Ovis aries: one gene and its partners. The main gene of each other region encodes a partner of the protein of the gene in region 3 in a complex. Links are inferred from orthologs where the notes say so. Each region holds a gene or a part of one and is shown on either strand. Other genes may lie near its edges.

Evidence for each region.
Region 1: SRSF1 (region 3) and PA2G4 share a complex: the UniProt entries of both Homo sapiens proteins name them as parts of the ribonucleoprotein complex. The link is inferred for Ovis aries from reciprocal best matches to the Homo sapiens genes SRSF1 and PA2G4.
Region 2: SRSF1 (region 3) and DDX5 share a complex: the UniProt entries of both Homo sapiens proteins name them as parts of the ribonucleoprotein complex. The link is inferred for Ovis aries from reciprocal best matches to the Homo sapiens genes SRSF1 and DDX5.

What each region holds. Positions count from the first base shown.
Region 1 is NC_056056.1:163,426,897-163,430,427, reverse strand, and holds part of PA2G4 (proliferation-associated protein 2G4), read left to right. Parts: coding exon 1-61; intron 62-1,511; coding exon 1,512-1,575; intron 1,576-1,815; coding exon 1,816-1,894; intron 1,895-2,042; coding exon 2,043-2,121; intron 2,122-2,205; coding exon 2,206-2,339; intron 2,340-2,636; coding exon 2,637-2,731; intron 2,732-2,834; coding exon 2,835-2,962; intron 2,963-3,117; coding exon 3,118-3,171; intron 3,172-3,381; coding exon 3,382-3,447; 3' UTR 3,448-3,531. UniProt on the Homo sapiens protein: May play a role in a ERBB3-regulated signal transduction pathway. Seems be involved in growth regulation. Acts a corepressor of the androgen receptor (AR) and is regulated by the ERBB3 ligand neuregulin-1/heregulin (HRG).
Region 2 is NC_056064.1:48,409,315-48,413,451, reverse strand, and holds the start of DDX5 (probable ATP-dependent RNA helicase DDX5), read left to right. Parts: upstream 1-1,319; 5' UTR 1,320-1,489; coding exon 1,490-1,533; intron 1,534-2,712; coding exon 2,713-2,878; intron 2,879-3,061; coding exon 3,062-3,158; intron 3,159-3,242; coding exon 3,243-3,376; intron 3,377-3,493; coding exon 3,494-3,559; intron 3,560-3,796; coding exon 3,797-3,938; intron 3,939-4,022; coding exon 4,023-4,137. Other genes in the region: CEP95 (centrosomal protein of 95 kDa), read right to left, coding at 434-452. UniProt on the Homo sapiens protein: Involved in the alternative regulation of pre-mRNA splicing; its RNA helicase activity is necessary for increasing tau exon 10 inclusion and occurs in a RBM4-dependent manner. Binds to the tau pre-mRNA in the stem-loop region downstream of exon 10.
Region 3 is NC_056064.1:8,495,228-8,499,350, reverse strand, and holds the start of SRSF1 (serine/arginine-rich splicing factor 1), read left to right. Parts: upstream 1-1,305; 5' UTR 1,306-1,414; coding exon 1,415-1,608; intron 1,609-2,021; coding exon 2,022-2,206; intron 2,207-2,571; coding exon 2,572-2,744; intron 2,745-2,947; coding exon 2,948-3,142; 3' UTR 3,143-4,123. UniProt on the Homo sapiens protein: Plays a role in preventing exon skipping, ensuring the accuracy of splicing and regulating alternative splicing.

The DNA of each region.
Region 1 (3,531 bases), on a different chromosome or scaffold from region 3:
CATTAAGGCAGCTCACCTTTGTGCTGAAGCTGCCCTACGCCTGGTCAAACCTGGAAATCAGGTGAGCTGTTTAGTCCAAGTCCAAAGCTTGATAGAGCCAAAGGTGCGTTCAGGATGTACTGCTATTCTATACTGAAAGAGAAGAGGCAGGAACTAAAAGAGTTTAAACCGAAGAGATGTTAAATCTTAGTGCCTACCTTAGGTGGTATGATGCTCACTGTAAGGGGATGATGGGTGCTCCTTTTCTTATGGAGCCTATAGAGATCCTTCCTTTTTCATGTTTTGGATGTGTATTGTTCCTGGAAATAATTTGAGATAGATAGCTCACAATAAAACACAGATATTGAAACTAAGTTTTAAAAGCTTATAACACAAAAATAATAATAGTACCAGTAAATTTGTGGCAAAGAAAGGCCAAAGACCCTTCCAAGACAATATTAGGACGTCCAGGGATCATAAATTTCTCATGAATTCATACAATAACATGTTAGACTACTAGTGGAGACTTTGTCTAACACTTAGATTTCAGAACCTGTTCAATACATAAAGCATCCTCTTTCTCTGTGCTCTTCACCCTTTTTATCCGTTTGTCCCCATTATCACTTAATTGCATCGTTTTTACTTCAGCCTCTGTTGTAGTTTTCTTGCAGTGGTATCTATCAAAGAGCTATTATAAAGCACTTTGAATAGTACCTGGCACAGAGTTAACCCTTTTGTTAGCTATTAATATTTTACATATTGATTATTTTTATTATTTATATGCTTACTATAAGATACTATTAATGTAGTGGCTGTTGTCTAGCTATGACCTGAGACTTTCTGGATTCTCATCCCATTACCACCCACTACTGATTTAAAATGAAATAACTTCAAAATTTCCTCATCTGTAAAGTGGGAAAAATTAAATTGTGCCTCATTCTCACAGGGTTGTGAAGATTGAGATGATCCATATAAAGTGATTATCACAGTACCTGACATGTAGTTTAATAATAGCTATGATTGGAAATTCACTTTTCTTTTTCTCTTAACTATAATTTAGGTGAGGATCAGCTCATGATTGAAAGAGGTAAAGAGGACAAAATAAAACTTTCTGTACCCTTTCAACAGGTTAGAATGCCAGGTATCATGGACTAAACACTGTGATCCGAAAACCTGAGTTTATACCAGGTTCTTTTGGTTAACTGGTTTAACCTTGAGCAAATCATATAACCCTTCTGAGCCTCAGTTTCCTCCTCCAAATTAGGATGTAGATTACCATACAGAATTGTTGGCACTAGTCACCTTACAGAATTGTTGTCTAAGCAGACCATCTTTGTGATAGTGCTTTGTAAAATGGTATGCAAATTTGATTTCTAGGTTGTAAGATGCTAGGGCTATGAAATGAAAAATTACTGAGAATCATTGCATTTGCTGGAGGATATTAGAACTCAGTTCTTTATGCTGCTGCTTCTCATAGTAGACAACTTACTAGCTCCTGGTATTTTACGTTTTATTTGATCTTGTACTTCTAGAACACACAAGTGACAGAAGCCTGGAACAAAGTTGCCCACTCATTTAATTGCACACCAATAGAAGGTGAGACTTCAGATAGTGGGGTTGAGGGTCTCAGTATGAGTGGTTTAGCAGAATTAAGACTTTTGTTCCCTTGAGCATCCACCCTGGCTCTGGCATAATCCAAGCCGCAAACCTCAGTGCCCCGTTTCCATAGCTGGGCACTTTGCTCTCATTGCCTGCTCCGTGGCTCTACTTGGGTAGGTGGGTTGGAAACCTTTGGGGATTCTAGATGAGTGGTGCCACAGGCTTTGTCCTCTACAGGTATGCTGTCACACCAGTTGAAGCAGCATGTCATTGATGGAGAGAAAACCATTATCCAGAATCCCACAGACCAGCAGAAGTAGGTGCCCTGTATCCCACTGTCTACCTTCTGTCATATAAGACTAGTTACGAAGTTCTTCCATACTCCAGGCTAATCTTATCCACCTTCTCTTCTAAGCTCCAGGAACCACTTATTGCTCCTTATTGTTCCCTTTCTGTTCTTTTAGGAAAGACCATGAAAAAGCAGAATTTGAGGTACATGAAGTATATGCTGTGGATGTTCTCGTCAGCTCAGGAGAGGGCAAGGTGATGAATGTTTACCAGATCCGGCAGAGAGGGGAGGCTGGGGGTGGGTTCCAAGAGCACCAGATCAAATATGATGTTTTATAGGCCAAGGATGCAGGACAGAGAACCACCATTTACAAGAGAGACCCCTCTAAGCAGTATGGCCTGAAAATGAAAACTTCCCGTGCCTTCTTCAGTGAGGTTGAAAGGCGTTTTGATGCCATGCCCTTTACTTTAAGGTACTACTGCACTTAGCGAGGACAGGACTTGGAACAGTCTGACCCGTAGACCATACAGCCAGATCTCTTTCCTTCCCCTACCCTGCTTGCCCTCTTTCCCTCCTCTTCTACCTAGACTTGTAGCTCCAGCCTGCATGCATGCCTTCTCTGTTTCTCCCTCTCATAGGAAGTAGTGTAAACAAAAAGCAATCCTACGCATGATTTCTGCCTGAGGGTAGGAGTTATTTAAAAACAGGAACAAAGTGGTAAAACATGACAGGGAGTTAAGGATACCTGAATTTGTCTTCCCCTCCCCAGAGCATTTGAAGATGAGAAGAAGGCCCGCATGGGTGTGGTGGAGTGCGCCAAACATGAACTGCTACAACCATTTAATGTTCTCTATGAGAAGGAGGGTGAGTTCTGAGAAGAGAGTTGTAGTTTGAAGCCTCCGATTATGGTCCCCTTCTCCTTGAAGGCAAGGGGACATTCTATCAAAACACTTTGTTTCTCTCATAGGTGAATTTGTTGCCCAGTTTAAATTTACAGTTCTGCTTATGCCCAATGGCCCTATGCGGATAACCAGTGGTCCTTTTGAGCCTGACCTTTACAAGTCCGAGATGGAGGTCCAGGATGCAGAGCTCAAGGTTAGTGTGTGATGGAAAGGAGCAGGGACATGGCACTTTTTCTGGGAGTGAGGACTGAGTGATGGGAAGTCCTGAGAAGAGCTGCAATGCCGAGAGTAGCACTTGGCATTTGCTCCATGTTCCTCAAAATTTGTTCACTTTCTTCTGTTTTGCAGGCGCTCCTCCAGAGTTCTGCAAGTCGGAAAACCCAGAAAAAGAAAAAAAAGAAGGTTTGTTATGATCATCCCTCCCTGGTGGGGTGAACCTGATCATCTTTATTCACTTTCCTGGGTCTTGGTGGGGATATAGGTGTCGATATGTCCTTATTTCTCCTCTCAGCCCTGACCTAGAGAATTAGGAATACTCTTGTCCTTGGTCCCCCAGACAGTACCCTAAGTTGTTGGAAACTGACACATCTTCTCTCCTTTCCATGAATGTAGGCCTCTAAGACTGCAGAGAATGCTACCAGTGGGGAAACTTTAGAAGAGAATGAAGCTGGGGACTGAGGTGGGTCCCGTCCCCCCAGCTTGCCACTCCTGCCTCATCCCCTTCCCGCCACACCCCAGGCTCTGTGAAGTGCAGTTCGACTT
Region 2 (4,137 bases), about 40 Mb from region 3:
AACCGTAGGAAGCTCTGAAGCGGGAAAATCCACCACTATTCCGCTTTGGGATGACAATAGATTTTTAGAGTGCTAATACTCAGCCTCAGGCTCCGCAGTGCAGGAGCAGAGGGCACACTCCCTAGAAAATACTAGTCTAGGGAAAGACACTTTCTGATCATTTACAGCCACCATGCTCGCGTGCTGCGGGCCTCGCCGCAGGGCCCTTGTCTCCCCGCCCCAAATCAGGCTCGACAACTTCGAATGCGCCAGGGAGCGGGACTAAGAAGCCCCAGCCAGAGAACCCGCCAACTACGACCGGGTTGTCTCACGAGCCCCGCCGGCAGCCCACACCCACCCGAAGCCTCAAGATAAGATGGGGAGGGGCGTTCAGGACTTGGACTGAAAAGGTACTTGAGCCCACACACAAACGGGGCTCCACGCAGAGACTCACCAGCCTCTGAGCCGGCCATGTCGCGGAGGCAAGTCGCCGCCGGACTCCTAGCCGGGCGCGCGCGGGACGGCGTCCTGAAAGGGCCGCACGGCGCAGACCCAGGGCTGACAGGAGAGGAAGCAAACGAAAGTGCCGGGAAGGGGTGCGGTGAAGGAGGGAGGGACGTTAAAACGGCTTCTCGCTGCTGATTGGTCACCGCGGGAGTACTTCCTTTGGCGGCACGTGCCGAGGTGGCGGTTTGCGAACTCTAGATACCATTTTTCACCAGCCAGACCCCGCTCAGGGGTCCTGGGGTGGGTGGGTTTGACAGTTCGGGTCGCCCAACAGCCCCGGCCGATTTCCCGAGGGCATTAGCACGGCACTTCCGGTGAGCTATTTCGTCTTGTACTCCTCCGCCGACGCCAACTGGGGAAGTAGTGCGTCCCGCTCACTCGGCGGGCGGGGCAGCCACGTGACAATGTCAGGCTCCGCCTTCCTGTCGCCCCTAGTAATGGGTGTAAAGGCTCTTTGGAGACGTAAACATCTTCAAGGGGACCGAGGGAGTTGACCTGGGCTGGACATTTTATTGTCTGGGCTAGACCTGGAAAAGGGCGCAGTGGTTTCCCTGAAGTGTGAAAGACCAGAAAAAGGTGAAGTCAAGAGAGTGCAGGCTTAGGCATCCCAGTGGAGGACCGCGGGGTGGGGGCGGGTCCTATCCTTGAAAGGGGCGAAAAGTCGGCAAAGGGCCCGGGGGGAGGGGCGAGAAAATGGCGGATCCCGGAACGCCGGCAGGCGTTAATAGCTCTGCGCAGGGGCGGAGTGATTAGGTCATAGAGCGGCTCCCAGCATTCTCTGCGGCGGAGGAGGCGGGCCAGGCTATAAAACCGGCTGCCGGGACGCGGCCGGCACCTCATTCATTTCCACCGGTCTCTTGTTGGGCAGCCTTGGCTTCTGTCATCGTCGTCCCTCCGCCGCTGCCGCCCCCGCAAGGCTTTGCCGTCGCCGGAGCCACCTCCAGCGACTCGTCGCACCCGATTCTCTCCGCTTCGCTTCCCGCCAACCGCAACCATTGACGCCATGTCGGGTTATTCGAGTGACCGAGACCGTGGCCGGGATCGAGGGTGAGTGTGGGAACCGACCTGTCAGGCCCGGCGGGTGGGGGATGGGAGACCGATGAGGGTTGCGGGGGTGGGGTGGCGGGGGCAACTCGGCTTCTAAAGACTATTCTCGGGCCTCCGCCATCGAAAAGGGCTTGCGCCATTTTGTTATTTGTCCAAACCTGGACTTTTCATGTTAACGGTCCTCAAGATTCTTTTTTGTTTTGGAGGGGGTATCGGGGCCTTGATGATTTGGCAACTGTTCGGAGAATTTCGAGCACATTTTTTGAGGGGAGGAAAGCGCAGCGCTTTGAGGCGAAGTCGCCACTATTAGGTGTAAGCTTACAGGAATTTTAAGGAATCTGGGGGTTCTGTGGGTGCCGAGGGGGCCGCCTCCGAAGCCGTTAATGCGGCGAGGGTTGGAGGGTGGCCGGTGCCGCGGGAATCGGCCATGTGGCCGAGCCGTGGGTACAAAATGCCGGCGGCGGACATGGCGGCGGCGCCTTTGTTACCCCGCCCGGCGGAGGAGCTCAAAATGGCAGCGTCGAGAAAATGTGGCGCAGAGAGAAATGCGAGACAAAGGGGGAAGCGCCGCCCCAGCGGGAACGCCGCCCGAAGGACTCCGCCCGGGCCGGGACTCCTCCCCCGGTAGTCTCCGGCTCCTCCTCCTCGTTTTCCTTTCGTTATATAATTTTGCTACCTTGGTAGGAAACCGTTTTGAGGGATCCCCCCAACTCGATTGGCTTGCCTAACTGTCCCCGAGCCACCCGCCGTGTTCTGCACTCACTTACCTGTGTTGTTCCGCTACCTATTAAAATCAGAGCTCTTGGTTCAGGACAGGTGCTAAGTAACATCTGTGTTAAGCTTCTGCTTTATTTTTTTTTGGCATTTAATTCTTTCGCTTGTGTGAAAGAGTAGTATCCACCAGCTGTTGTTTGTCCTTGTATCTGAACTCCTAGAGCTTGGCCAGCCAGTTTCCAACCTAGTAAATCCCGGGCTGTTGATTTGTTTTCAATGGTGTGTACTTCGTGTAACGGGAAATGAGGGAGATGTAGTACTAACTGGCTTTTGAAAGAATGACCATCACTGAGGACAGCACTTGCATCTCCAGAATCTTTCATTGAGTTTTAGCATGTGCGCAGGGATGGTAAAATAAGTCTGTACATGTTTGAAAATGCAATTTTTTTTCCCCTCAAATTTTAGGTTTGGTGCTCCTCGATTTGGAGGTAGTAGGGCAGGGCCCTTATCTGGAAAGAAGTTTGGAAACCCTGGAGAGAAACTGGTTAAAAAGAAGTGGAATCTTGATGAGCTGCCCAAGTTTGAGAAGAATTTTTATCAAGAACACCCCGATTTGGCTAGGCGTACAGCAGTGAGTAATTTCATGTGGTTTTTTCAGCTTGTAACTCAGTGACATTTAAGTTTGACTAGAAATGTCTTGCAAACTTAAAGGAATGTTAATGTTGATAATTATTAACTTAGGGGTGTGTTGGTCGTGTGTTTAGTTAGGGGGAGTCCTCGTGAGATAACTGAATTTTATAAATTTCTTTTGTAGCAAGAGGTGGAGACATACAGAAGAAGCAAGGAAATTACAGTTAGAGGTCATAACTGCCCAAAGCCAGTCCTGAATTTTTATGAGGCAAACTTCCCTGGTAAGTGCTAGTTTTCCCCACCTTAAAAAAAAAAATCCCTTTCTCATGGCATTATTGACGTTTACTTAATTCTTAACATTACAGCAAATGTCATGGATGTGATTGCAAGGCAGAACTTCACTGAACCCACAGCTATTCAAGCTCAGGGATGGCCGGTTGCTCTGAGTGGATTGGATATGGTTGGGGTAGCACAAACTGGATCTGGGAAGACTTTGTCTGTAAGTTTGGGAAACTTTGAGTTAGGTGACAGGTCCTGAAGAAAAATGGGTTGGGAATTAAAAGAAACCAGAAGTGTTTTTAATATGGCTTTTTTTGTTTGCTTTTCTTTTGTATAGTATTTGCTGCCTGCCATTGTCCACATCAATCATCAACCATTCCTAGAGAGAGGTGATGGGCCTATTGTAAGTGTACATTGTATTCTCTTAACTTGGTTAACAGCGTAGAGATTTGTAGAATATACAGCAAAAGAAAATTCTGGTGGTTTTATATGGAAGGTTATGTTTTTCAGTGTAGGAAGGGACAAAGCTGCTTTGGGTATTGACAATGTATATCATCTGCTAGTGTAGCAACAGTAAATTAGCACTTCAAAACTAGAATTCAGGGGTCTCCTAAAGGTGTTCCACTTTCTCTTTCCTTAGTGCTTGGTGCTGGCACCTACTCGGGAACTGGCCCAACAGGTGCAGCAAGTAGCTGCTGAATACTGTAGAGCATGTCGCTTGAAGTCTACTTGCATTTATGGTGGTGCTCCCAAGGGACCACAAATACGTGATTTGGAGAGAGGTATGTAACCAAAAAGGTTTTATTTGTCACTGATCATGCAGGAAGTTCTGGATGTCATGGTAACTTTTGTGTGTTTAATTAAAGGTGTGGAAATCTGTATTGCAACACCTGGAAGACTGATAGACTTTTTAGAATGTGGGAAAACCAATCTAAGAAGAACCACCTACCTTGTCCTTGATGAAGCAGATAGAATGCTTGA
Region 3 (4,123 bases):
TCCACCTAGTTTTAATAACGTTTTATAGTATCTTTATAAAACTGCCTTACAGCCCTGAGGAGAGGGACTATTACAAATACATACATAAACTGAAGAAAATCATCCTTACCCTTAGGGTGCAGAGCTAGCTGTTTTAGCATATTTATGACTGCAGGTTTGTTGTTTTAATTTGAATTCATCACTAATAATGTAAAGTTCCAGCATTTCATATAAAAAACCAGATTTCAAATAGATATCTCTATAGGAAAAAATGTAGAAGTTCTAATCTCCCTGGACCTGACTAGCAGATCAGTCTTGAGCAGCAACTGTGGTCTCCAGCGGCCACAGCAGTTCTCACAAGTTCATTGGGCTCATTTATATTACTTGAGAGGCCTGCTAATGAGTTCAAAACAAGGAACTTCAGGATTCTGCATACACACACGCAGGCGCGTGTGTTTTTTCTCGTTCTTTGAAAAAGGATGGAGAAGTAACAGGCACCATTCATTCTGCAGCCTTCAATGCACCTTTCCGCTGCGTTGGGCCTAGTAATAGGCGATGAAAAAAGAGAGAGATCTGGGTCCCGGTTGGTACCACCAACGATTGGTCAGAGCAGGAATCGCCGCCACTAACAAACACAAGCAGTGTTGAATGTAGTTATTAAATATATACAAAGCTTGGTGCTGAACCGAAGGTAGAACGGTACTTGATGTAGAATCTAAGGAATCTAAGCTCGGCTCCCCTATATTACACAGTCGTCTAGGCAGCGCACAGGTTCACAGGAGACGAGGCGGAAACACAGTGATGGCTTGCCTCTGCACAGAATCACAGACAACGCCGACTCCCGGACTGGGCGCAGTCTCCTAAGACGCGCCCGTTTCCGGAGCAACCGCCCAGTCCCTCCCCCATTGACTCCGCCCCCGGGGGCGTCTTTCCCGCCCAAGGCCGTTAACCCCGCAGAGCATTGTGGGATAAAGCTATAGGCTAGGTTTCACTAAATCCTTCCAAAGCGCCTTTGCTTTAAGAGACTTATTCCTGGGGAAACTGATTATTCTTTAGGACTCGACAAGATTAATAACCCTCTTTTACAAGGGCTCTGCCCTAAATCTTTACCACAGGGCCGGTCACTTCCTTTGCAAAGCTCTCGGCACCACGGGAACGCGGGAACTTTTTTCCCTTCGCGCGGAGGGTGACGTCGCGCGTGCGCCAGCGTCCCTTTCGCTGCACACCCGTTACGCTCTTGCGCGTGCGCAGTGAGATCGAATAGCTGCTTCCTCCCGCTTCTCTTCTTCCCTCCCCCCCATATCCGTGCGCCGAGCTGATAAAGGCGCCATTTTGGAGGGGCCGCGGGAGACGTGGTGTCGCGGCGGGCTCGCTCTGCCGTTCGCTAGGCTTGGTGGGAAGGCCTGTTCTCGAGTCCGCGCTTTTCGTCGCCGCCATGTCGGGAGGTGGTGTGATTCGTGGCCCGGCAGGGAACAACGACTGCCGCATCTACGTAGGGAACTTACCTCCAGACATCCGAACCAAGGACATTGAGGACGTGTTCTACAAATACGGTGCTATCCGCGACATCGACCTGAAGAATCGCCGCGGAGGACCGCCCTTCGCCTTCGTTGAGTTCGAGGACCCGCGGTGAGGCGGCCAGGGACTTGCGGCCTTGAGGATATAGGTTGGAGTAGTTGGGGAGTGCTCCAAGGCCTTAGAGAGAATGGGGACGTGGGCTCTGAGGTTGGGAGCAAGACGAGTCGGCCGCGCACGAGTGAAGTGAGGAGCCGAGTCGGTGAGGCTTCCCTGGTGACTGGGTCCCCCGGGCGTCTCCGGAGCCGGCTCGCGGGCTCGGAGCGGGAAACTGAGGCGCTGAGGGCTGCTGTAGTGGTCGGGAGCCTGGCGTGCTTCTGGGTGGGGGAGGGGCCGTCCCTATTATGCGGCGCATGTGGGCTCTTCCACCCCGGGTGCGCATGTGCGGGGCGCTGCTGGCTCCCCGACGGAGGTGGCCACCCCTCCCGGCCCTTTTTCTTACCCTTCGGCTTTCTGTAATCACGCAGGGATGCGGAAGACGCGGTGTACGGTCGCGACGGCTATGATTACGATGGATATCGTCTGCGGGTGGAGTTTCCTCGAAGTGGCCGTGGTACAGGCCGAGGCGGCGGCGGGGGTGGAGGTGGCGGGGCTCCCCGGGGCCGCTATGGCCCCCCATCCAGGCGTTCTGAAAACAGAGTGGTTGTCTCTGGTAAGTTGACCGTTCCGCGCGGGTCGATGTCACTTTTGGACAGATCCTACACTTTAAAGTTTTCCTTGCATGCGTAGTTTGACAAATGCTAGCTTTCATGGTAGGTCTTTAAATTATTTCAGTCGCATGGATGAATTTAGTAACCAGGAATTACTGTATTTGAGATTTAACGAATTAGATTGCAGTGTCTAGAATATGAAGATCATTACTTTGTAAATAATTTGGGGCTTTTAATTCTAGAATTTTGAATCATTAACCTAGGATGTTAAAACTAATCATTAATTTTAAAGTAGTCTTGGTTCTAATGTAAATTTTAACTTTAATGTGAAATACTAGGATAATTGTTGAAAAAAACTCTTTTTCAGGACTGCCTCCAAGTGGAAGCTGGCAGGATTTAAAGGATCACATGCGTGAAGCAGGTGATGTATGTTATGCTGATGTTTACCGAGATGGCACTGGTGTCGTGGAGTTTGTACGGAAAGAAGATATGACCTATGCAGTTCGAAAACTGGATAACACTAAGTTTAGATCTCATGAGGTAGGTTATACACTTATTCTTTTTATTGGCCAGAATTGGATACAGTGGTCTTAACTGTGGAATTTGAAGGTAAGATTCAGGCAAGGGTGTCCAAGTAAACCCAGTAAAGTGCCTCTGGTTTAAATTACGTTGTATTCATTCAGCATGCCTGAAGACAGGTGAAAACTTAGATCTTTCAATCGAAAGTTCTGTCTATTCAATAGGGAGAAACTGCCTACATCCGGGTTAAAGTTGATGGGCCCAGAAGTCCAAGTTATGGAAGATCTCGATCTCGAAGCCGTAGTCGTAGCAGAAGCCGTAGCAGAAGCAACAGCAGGAGTCGAAGTTATTCCCCAAGGAGAAGCAGAGGATCACCACGCTATTCTCCCCGTCATAGCAGATCTCGCTCTCGTACATAAGATGATTGGTGACACTTTTTTGTAGAACCCATGTTGTATACAGTTTTCCTTTATTCAGTACAATCTTTTCATTTTTTAATTCAAACTGTTTTGTTCAGAATGGGCTAAAGTGTTGAATTGCATTCTTGTGTAATACCCCTTGCTCCTAACATCTACATTCCCCTCATGTCGATAAATTGTATTTTAAGTGATGTCATAGCCAGGATTGTTTAAATTTAGTTAACTCTCCATGCTCTTCAGACTGTGATATTGTGTAAATGTCTATTCTGCTCTGGTTTGTGTGAACTGGGATGTTGGGGGTGTTTGTGGTTATCTTACCTGGGGAAGTTCTTATGTTTATCTTGCTTTTCATGTGTCTTTCTGTAGACATATCTGAAGAGATGGATTAAGAATGCTTTGGATTAAGGATTGTGGAGCACATTTCAATCATTTTAGGATTGTCAAAAGGAGGATTGAGGAGGATCAGATCAATAATGGAGGCAATGGTATGACTCCAAGTGCTATTGTCACAGATGAAATTGGCAGTATTGACCTTATACTAAAGGCAAGGGTTTAAATTGATTATGTATACATCTACCATAAAACACTTGTAAGCATCTTAATGCAGTTACCTTTAGCTACAATTGCTTTGCTCTTTAAACCTTGGCAATTGTGGCAAAATTACATTGCCCATTTTGTAACTATTTTGCTCCCTTCCCTTTTTTATTTTAATAGGGACTAATGTGGGAAGAACTGGCTAATTTGTCATAATGCTTAGTTACAACTGTTAATGTGTGACCTGCTGTTGGTGTACATGTGGGTACAGGGTGTCTTTAATTCCAACCAGATAGAGTATAATATCAATACTGCTAAATCTGCATGTCCTCTGTGTGACTGATATAGCGTTGCTACTTCATTTTTTAAAGACAAAATGAAAGCAAAATATAGAATTCCAACATATTGGTGTAGATAATCTAGTTGGGAATAATTTTAAGTCTCACC